Linked DNA regions of Danio rerio. The protein of the gene in region 2 purifies or fractionates together with the protein of the main gene of each other region. This does not show direct contact. Links are inferred from orthologs where the notes say so. Each region holds a gene or a part of one and is shown on either strand. Other genes may lie near its edges. The genes, in order: ift57 and ift27.

Region 1 (4,563 bases), on a different chromosome or scaffold from region 2:
GCTGATTTTTTTTTATTAAGAGTGACTTACTGTCATCTCCTCTTCCACTTTACTGAGTGTGAGTTCTGCATCATCTTCCTGCACACACTCATCCTCCACCTCCACTGATGGGTACAGCGGCCTGACAGACAGAGAATACAAGCTCTAGATGTGTTTGTATACAGTAAGAACAGACAGTTAGACAAATTCGTGGTTCTAAAAGATTTCTGTGCCCCTAAACCACCATAGAAAATGATCTCAACCTGTTGTAAGCTCATATGTGTGGTTTAAACTTTGTCACTTCATGCAATTTTTTTATTTTTTATTATTATGAGGATGTTTCAAACACAAAGCCTCCAGGAGCCTACATATAAAAGCATTTGTATCCAGAATCAAAAATATAGATTAGATTTGTGTAAAAGCGAATACTATTTAAATAAAATAAAATGTATCAGATGCTTTAGTCAACATAAACTAGTTAAATTTGTATATAGAGCAGATTTGAAGATATCCAAGGAATCATATTAATTTAGCGAAGATGCATTCATGTGGTCAAATGTACATGGCACTATTTGAACAAATCAGATAGCTATGCAGTCAGCAAAAACGCATGAAGTGACCAAGTGTAAACAAGCCCATAGTAGGGGCGGATTTAACCAATAAGCAAGGTAAGTGGCCGCTTAGGGCCCCAATAAATATCTAGAAGTATAGATTATACTTATAAACTATATATAAAACATAATTTCTATCATATTTTGTATAGTGAGATATTTTGTACATAATTAAATATTATTTAATATACAGTAAAATCTTATATTATTTTAATAATGTAATGTTTTGTAATATTAATATTATGAAACAAAATATCCAGCTCCCCTATCATGGAGCAGTCCAGCAGTAAATCTATGATTATATATATATATATATATATATATATATATATATATATATATATATATATATATATATATATATATATATATATATATATATATATATATATATATATATATTTGTTATCGTATGTAAAGGTTGTAAAGATTGCATTAAGATAAACCATAAAAAAAGAAGATTGAGTTACAGAAAATAAATACATTTAAATAAAAAAAAGTAGAAAAGGTGCATCAGGACTTGGGCCCCATGGCTGAAGTTGCCTAGGGTCCCCGATTCGCTAAACCCGCCCCTGCCCATAGTGTGTGCTGTTAAATATATGTGTACCTGTTCCAGGCAAAACCTTTACTCTTTAGTGCCTTTTCTACCAGCTGGTCTAGAACATAACAGACATGCTCTCCAGACCCAGTCTTCAGCTTAGATGGGGGGAAATCAACCTGGCCTCCCTACAAATCACATACAGATGATAATCATAAACCTAAATGCATACACCCATACACATTTGTGAGGGTGTAATCAGTGTTATCGCCTCACCAGGGTTCGAAGTTCAGACAGGATGTTGGAGACTGTGGCGTTGGGGTCGTCATACTCCTGTGGTGTGTCGAACGGTCGCCCGCATAATGTAATCAACCAGGCAGCAATTACACTGAACATATAGAACTGCTCACCGGGATTTGACAACACATGAGGGCTGGAGACAAAATAATGTCTGAAAAATACAGAGTATTAAGGCAAAAGTTGAAATGAAAAATCAGTCATTATTTCCAGTGCTCAGCATGTATAAGTACACCCCTCACAAATCTATCTTTTAAATTTATATTTTGAATAGGAAGCTATACAGTATTATATTTGTGCATATACATTAGATTAGTCAGTACTGAAGCCAAATCTAGAACTTATGTAACTAAATAAAACTAGTACAACCAAATGTATATGTTATAGAAAAATATTAAATACAATTTTTAAAAAGCAAAAACAAGAAAAAGAAAATAAAATTTAGTTGAAATTTTGTAATATTTTGCTTGAATTTAATTGTATTATCTTTCAGTTTATAAATATGTTTGGTGAGCAAAATATTATTTATATAAATATATCTGTTTAATAAATCTGCTTTGTTTAAATGCACCAAAACACATTGCCTATATTCACTGAAGATATATACATTTTCAAAATGTGGTGTACTCACTGAGCACTGTACTCACTCTGATGTTCTTATTTACTTTTTCTGATGTCTACGTTATAACACGCAGTCTCTTTGATATCAACTTCTTCAAACATTGTTCAAAAGTATATTATCCTGACATGTTAGAGACCTTAGTTCCTCTTCAGAATACAACATAAGATATTTTAGATTAAATCTGAGAGCTCTCTCATCTTCCATAGACAGCAATGGTTCTGAGTCATCCAGAAAAATAACAAAAAACATCCTTAAAACAGAAATACGCCTCCAGTGGTTCAATCAGAATTTTATCAATCTGCGAGAGATGCTTTTGTGTGTACAACAAATAAAAATAGCAACGGCTATTTCTGTTCTTATTCTACTATTAAACTTATATTAATTTAAAGGTCTTAAACGTGTGAACACAAAAGAAGATATTATAAAAAATGTTGGAAAGCAACAGCCACTGACTGATAATATTTTTGTCAATATAGTTTCCATCATTCTAGTAAATGTTGACAGAATTTTCATTTTATGATAATATATGATAAGTGGATTTTACTATAAACTGACGGCTAAAAAGTAACTCTATCTACTTTGCAACGTTCATTTTCTTACAGGTTCCATATTATAAAAGTGAATGGGGACCAGAAACTAACTTTACTCGTTTACCAATGTTGTCCAAAATGTTATCTTATATGTCCAACCGAAGAAAAAAACTCATCCAGGTTTGTAAAACCCGATACTAAATTCATGATGAGAGATTTCACTTTAACTGTAATGCTATTTACATCAAATACTTTCTAATCCACATTCCGAGTCTCTCTTACCTGGACAGAGGTTTGATGTTGTGTTTGTCCAGAACGTGCTGCTCATAATCGAGAACCTTCAGTTTATCCAGCAGATCCTCCATCAACACGAACATCTGATAGACAGAGCCCGGACCGCGCTCTTCCTCCTCCGCCATCCCTCTCTCTTTCTCTTTTCACATTTAACAATCTTTACTCGCAAAGGGAAATTAGTTTAAAGCTTTTATTAACACTGCAGGTACGAATACAGACAGATATATACACGGCTATTCTGCAGCAGCGGATTCGGGATGTTGTAGTTACTGTCGTCAGGAATGACGTCACACACAGCGACGGCCATGACAGCAAACAAAGTAAAAGTATCTACTGAATAGTCACAGATAATAAACAGAAAGCTATAAATAATCAATAATCAATGACTATGCATAATTATTGAATAGAAAAAAAGCAGCGAGCCGAAATCTGATTTTGGCTAAGAGTTTTATAATGTTACCGTGTGTAGTCTGACAGTGCTGCCACACGCTGGAGCGGAGAAGAAACGACTCCATATCTAACGTTACTCCAATCGAAAAGATATGTTGCTTTTCTTGCTGGTTCTTTGAAACTGACTCTTTATTAATAACATAATTAATAATAAATGCGTGTGTGTTAACAATAAGAATGGAAAACAAATAATTATTATCATCACCACACTTTCAAAGTACAAACCATGGTTGATTTCTAGTTGCCAGAACTGTTATGTTTAGTCACAGTAAATTACCTCTGTTTATTGTTTTATGTATAGTAAAACCATTGTAAGGGCATAAAATACGTTATGTTACAAAAACCAGAGAGTAATTATTTTGGTTTTTACAAGTTTAAACGGTGATTTTTAAGTATTTTGGTTTTCAACACAACTCAATGTCTGACACATGAAAGTCATTTATAGTCAATGTTATGGTTTAAGGTTATCTGTGCTGATCTAATTATGTTTATTTTTTTTCTTTATGCTATAAATGTGGTTACTTATTATTATATGAAAAATCTTCAGTCTTTTGAGTCTTTTAAGTCGGTTGTGCTCACTAGACAATGAATGATAACTGCTTTGAAAAAGTCAAGGCAGAATTTTCTGCAATACTGTTCCTTCGGTATATGGAGGATTGTTTTATTCAATTTTTATTATTATTATTTTTTTTAAGACAACAGTATCTTTAGCAGAATAGATATCCAAACATGCTGTTCGAAATCGTAAATAAATCAGTGTTTTTGAAACTAATGAAGACAAGAGAAGTCCATTCATTTCATTTATTTAGCCTGACATGTTTACAGTCCCACAATATTTTAAATTGTTCTCAAAATAAAAAATATATTGTATTGAAAGGGGGAAATTTTTTTTTTTTTACTAAGACATTTAAAAAGAATATATTTTAGAGCAGTAATCACAATATTTTTATCCAAGGTTATCATATCAACATAATCTTATACCGGCCCATGCCTAGTGCTCACCAAAGTTGTATTATTTACAGCAAATAAGTAATATTAAAATATTACAATTCATAATACTTTTTCAGGATTCTTTGATGGACTTGAATTTACAAAAGTACTGCATTTACTATAAGGATATTTTATGTCACAATAATAAACCCTTTATTGTCACTTTTTGATTAATGCTCTTGCTCAATATTAAGATAAAACCTAAAAAACCTTTTGAACACTGTTTTATAATTTTACACATTTTCTCCCATA
Region 2 (4,362 bases):
TTAATAAGCCACACGAGCAGACTTCTTGAGTCAAGAAGACGAGAAACAAAAGAGCAAATCAGAAGTCAATAAAGTCATCATGGGTAACACCAGTGCGTGGATTTATTTCTGTTGGTTGATGATCCTGAATTGAATTAGTCTCCAGATTACGCTACATTTATCTAGAGCTGAACGAACCATGTCTATATCAGACTGTCCTCAGATCAGCGTCACGATGGAGATATGCAGCATGAAGATTAAACCAGCACCCTCTGCTGGCCGTCAGAGGAACTGTGTGTGTAAGTGTGTACAAGCTTTTATATCCCAGTGGGGACTTGATATTGAATGCATTCACACTCGGGGAGACTTTGTGGCACAAATGCTCCTGAATCAGGCAGAATGAAGTAGTGTGAAGATGTGAAGTGCAGTGTGTGTGCGCACGTGTGTGTGTGTGTGTGTGTGTGTGTGTTTAATCATCACACTGAAGGCATTTTTTTAGATTTATAGAAAGCTTTATTTGATTGAGAACAGACATGCTCATATGTACACAGATGATGATGATGATGATGATGAAGATGGCGCTGGTGTCAGATGAGGCTCAGTATGCTGTTCTTCTGCTCCTGATAGAGGGAGTGAAACGCTGCAGCCAGACTGAGGAACGGAGCTTCATAGTGGCCAATCTCCTTCTGCACACACACACACAGACAAATGCATAAACACAAACACACACACACACACACACACACACAAAACAAGCATAAATAAAAACAAACAACAGACGAACACACACACACACACACACACACCAGCACACACACACATACATGAAAACACATGCATACACACAAACACACACAAATACACACAAAAACATGCATACACATATCACACAAACACACACAAACAAACACATGCATACACACAAACACGCACACAGATGGATACAGACATGCATACACACCAGCACACACACACGTATACATGCAAACACATTCATACACACAAACATCTAAACGCACACAAAAACAAGCATAACAACACACACACACACACACACACACACATATACATACACAAAAACAAAAACATGCATACACACATCCAACACATGCATAAAAATGCATACACACACACGCATAAACACACACACACAGCATTGTCAGCCACACTGCATTGCTGATGATGATGATGAAGGTGTGTGTGTGACCCACCGCACTCGTCTCGTGATACTGCAGTGTGTGTGTCTGAGCGAAGGCTTGAGCTGCAGCAGCGTCCACCTCACGCCTGGAGGTCAGGTCACACTTATTGCCCACCAGTACACCTGCACACACACACACACACACACACGAATGCACGCATACACATTCAAACACACATATGCGCACACACACTGTAAGATTGGAAGATGAGGAATATTGTGTTCTCTGTGTGTGTGTGTGTGTGTGTGTGTGTGTGTGTGTGTGTGTGTGTGTGTGTGTGTGTGTGTGTGTGTGTGTGATAGACCTGTACCTGGTGTGTGTAGTCCGTGACTGTGTGTTTGGACTCTGTCGATCCAGCGGCTGCAGTTGTTGAAGGAAGCTTCACTGGTGACGTCAAACACCACACACACAACTGACGGCTGACTCCACTGACACACACACACACACATCATGAGACACATACCGCAGGTCATGTGTGTGTGTGTGTGTGTGTTTGATGTGTTTTAAAACTCACCACATTCTCACAGGCGTCTGAAAACAGCTCCCGTCCAGCAGAATCATAGATGAACAACTCCTAACACACACACACACGCACGCACGTGCGCTTATTAATCAACTGATTGATCTGTAAGCAGGTATGGTGTGTGTGTGTGTGTGTGTGTTCATACCACAGAGTCACTGGTGTCTGGGATAGGGACTGTTTTCTCCAGTAACTCCACGCCAACATTCTGTAAAACACACACACACACACACACACACACACGTGATATATTACGTTACCATTTATAATTGATGAAGCTATTATTTAAACCCCACTGTATGTTGTGTATTGTTGTGTGTGTCTGTTTTATGTGTGCCGTCTATGTGTGTATCATTGTGTGTGTTTTGTGTATTGACATGTTGGTGTGTGTTGTGTTGTTTGTGTGTTGCTTTGTGTGTGTTTTTGTGTATTGATGTGTGTGTGTGTGTGTGTTGTTTTGTGTGTATTGATGTGTGTGTGTTGTTTTGTGTGTATTGTTGTGCGCGTTTTTGTGTATTGATGTATGTGTGTTGTGTTGTTTTGTTTGTGTTGTTTTGTGTGCGTGTTGTTGTGTGTGTTTTGTGTGTTGGTGTGTGTGTGTGAGTGTTTTTTTGTTTGTGTGTTGTTTTGTGTTTTTGTGTATTGCTGTGTTGGTGTGTGTGTGTGTTTGTGTGTGTGTGTTGTGCTGTTTTGTGTATGTCTGTGTTGTGTATTGTTGTGTATCTGTAGTTTTGTGTGTGTATTGTTTTATGCACTAGCTTGGTGTGTCTGATTCTGTGTGTGTGTGTGTGTGTGTGTGTGTGTGTGTGTGTGTGTGTGTGTTGTTTTGTGCATTAGCTCGGTGTGTCTGACTCTGTGTGTTCTTGTTGTTTTGTTGTGTGTGTCTGTGAGTGTGTGTTGTGTTCACCATAGTGTAGTTCTTCTGATACACAGCTCCATCACTGCAAAACATCTGACACAGTGTGCTCTTGCCTACAGCAGCGTCTCCTACACACACACACACACACACACACAGAATAAGTTCACGCACTCTTGATAACACGTGATGTTCATTGCGTATATAATCTGCATAACACACTTACCCACAACCACACACCGCGCTCTGAGTTTCACCATGAAGCTGAATATTGATTACTGTTGGATTAAATATGGAGGTAATAGTGTGTGTCTACGTGTGTGTGTTATTACAGATTTAATGCATCTGCGTTATTCCTCCGTCAAGGCAACCCGAACCTACAGCGTCGCTTAGCAACTGAAATAAAGCACTGCTATTGGTCGAGCCGCTCTACGCCACTGATTCTTGCAATGCGATTGGCTGGACGGCCTGACGCAGAGCTGTACGTCACTCTGACGTTGACGCAACTGTTGTTTTACGTATGCACCGCTAGAGGCCGCGCTTATATCTTCATTCACCCTTAATCATTTATATAAGAGGCCGTGGGCGAGCTCATATATATATATATATATATATATCTCTCTCTCTCTCTCACTGTTTAATTCAGCAGAGTGAACAGGCAGAGCAAGCGTCACTGTATTTATTCAATCCAATTACACAAACATGACGTGCTGTATGTGTGATCAGCTCCTGCCTGCTCACTGACAATAATCATCATTCTGGGCTATTTTAGGAGTTGATATAAGTATATATCTTTAATAGTTTACACTTATCATTATTTTTTGCATGCCTACTTTGTTAAATAATTATTATGATATGCATTAAAGGCGACGCAGTGGTGAAGTAGGTAGTGCTGTCACCTCACAGCAAGAAGGTCACTGGTTCAAGCCTCAGCGGGGTCAGTTAGTGTTTCTCTGTGGAGTTTGCATGTTCTCCCTGCATTTGCGTGGGTTTCCGCCATATACTCCAGTTTCCCACAAAGTCCAAACCAATGACTGCAACGCCTGGGTGATTCTTGCTACTCAGAACACCCTAGCAACCAACTAGCAATACCTTAGTAACCCCTCAGAACACCATAGCAATGGCCTAGCAATACTTCAGTAATCACTCAGAACACACTAGCAACAACCTAGCAACACCTTAACAACCGCCAAGCAACCACTCAGAACACCCTAGCAATGGCTTAGCAACTACTCAGAACACCACATTTAAACACCCAAGCACACCTTAGCAACCCACTTATCAGCCTACTTGTATCAACTCTTTTAAACTTCTTTATTTTAAACCGTTAAACTAGGCTACTTCAAACGTTCAGATTAACTTTCTCAAGCCGCCATGAAGTTGGTCTACGAACTTTACTTTTCTAGTGTCAAGTTGTTGTACATTAACTAGCTATATATTCAATAAAATAAAAACATGTAGATGTTTGTTCACTCACTGAATCGACTCTGAACTGACTCGATTCTGAATCTCGGAGCATGCACGCACGAAGAGAGAGAGAGAGAGAGAGAGAGAGAGAGAGAGAGAGAGAGACATCTGTGTGAGTGTGAGTGTGTGCGTCTGTGTGTGTGTGTTTGACGGGATGCAGCAGCAGAGCATCGGATCCTTTGAGCTTCTCACTTTCATCCAGCAGCCGCACACCGGCCTCCGGATCCTGTGCTGGGTACAGTAGCGGTCAACATCTCTCTCTCTCTCTCTCTCTCTCTCTGTGTGTGAGGTTCTGCACATGCTCAGAGAATAACTCATCTTTTAGTATACTGTTTTCTATT

Evidence for each region.
Region 1: the proteins of ift27 (region 2) and ift57 purify together in Homo sapiens (co-immunoprecipitation; 3 studies listed by BioGRID and IntAct, with this or other methods). This does not show direct contact. The link is inferred for Danio rerio from reciprocal best matches to the Homo sapiens genes IFT27 and IFT57.

Annotation. Positions count from the first base shown.
Region 1 is NC_133177.1:45,212,141-45,216,703, reverse strand, and holds the start of ift57 (intraflagellar transport protein 57 homolog), read right to left. Parts: upstream 3,135-4,563; 5' UTR 2,997-3,134; coding exon 2,860-2,996; intron 1,580-2,859; coding exon 1,405-1,579; intron 1,317-1,404; coding exon 1,198-1,316; intron 122-1,197; coding exon 31-121; intron 1-30. UniProt on the Homo sapiens protein: Required for the formation of cilia. Plays an indirect role in sonic hedgehog signaling, cilia being required for all activity of the hedgehog pathway.
Region 2 is NC_133181.1:488,433-492,794, reverse strand, and holds ift27 (intraflagellar transport protein 27 homolog), read right to left. Parts: upstream 2,902-4,362; 5' UTR 2,815-2,901; coding exon 2,781-2,814; intron 2,686-2,780; coding exon 2,606-2,685; intron 1,907-2,605; coding exon 1,847-1,906; intron 1,753-1,846; coding exon 1,693-1,752; intron 1,607-1,692; coding exon 1,489-1,606; intron 1,301-1,488; coding exon 1,191-1,300; intron 666-1,190; coding exon 567-665; 3' UTR 477-566; downstream 1-476. Other genes in the region: syngr1b (synaptogyrin-1), read left to right, coding at 4,176-4,256. UniProt on the Homo sapiens protein: Small GTPase-like component of the intraflagellar transport (IFT) complex B that promotes the exit of the BBSome complex from cilia via its interaction with ARL6. Not involved in entry of the BBSome complex into cilium. Prevents aggregation of GTP-free ARL6.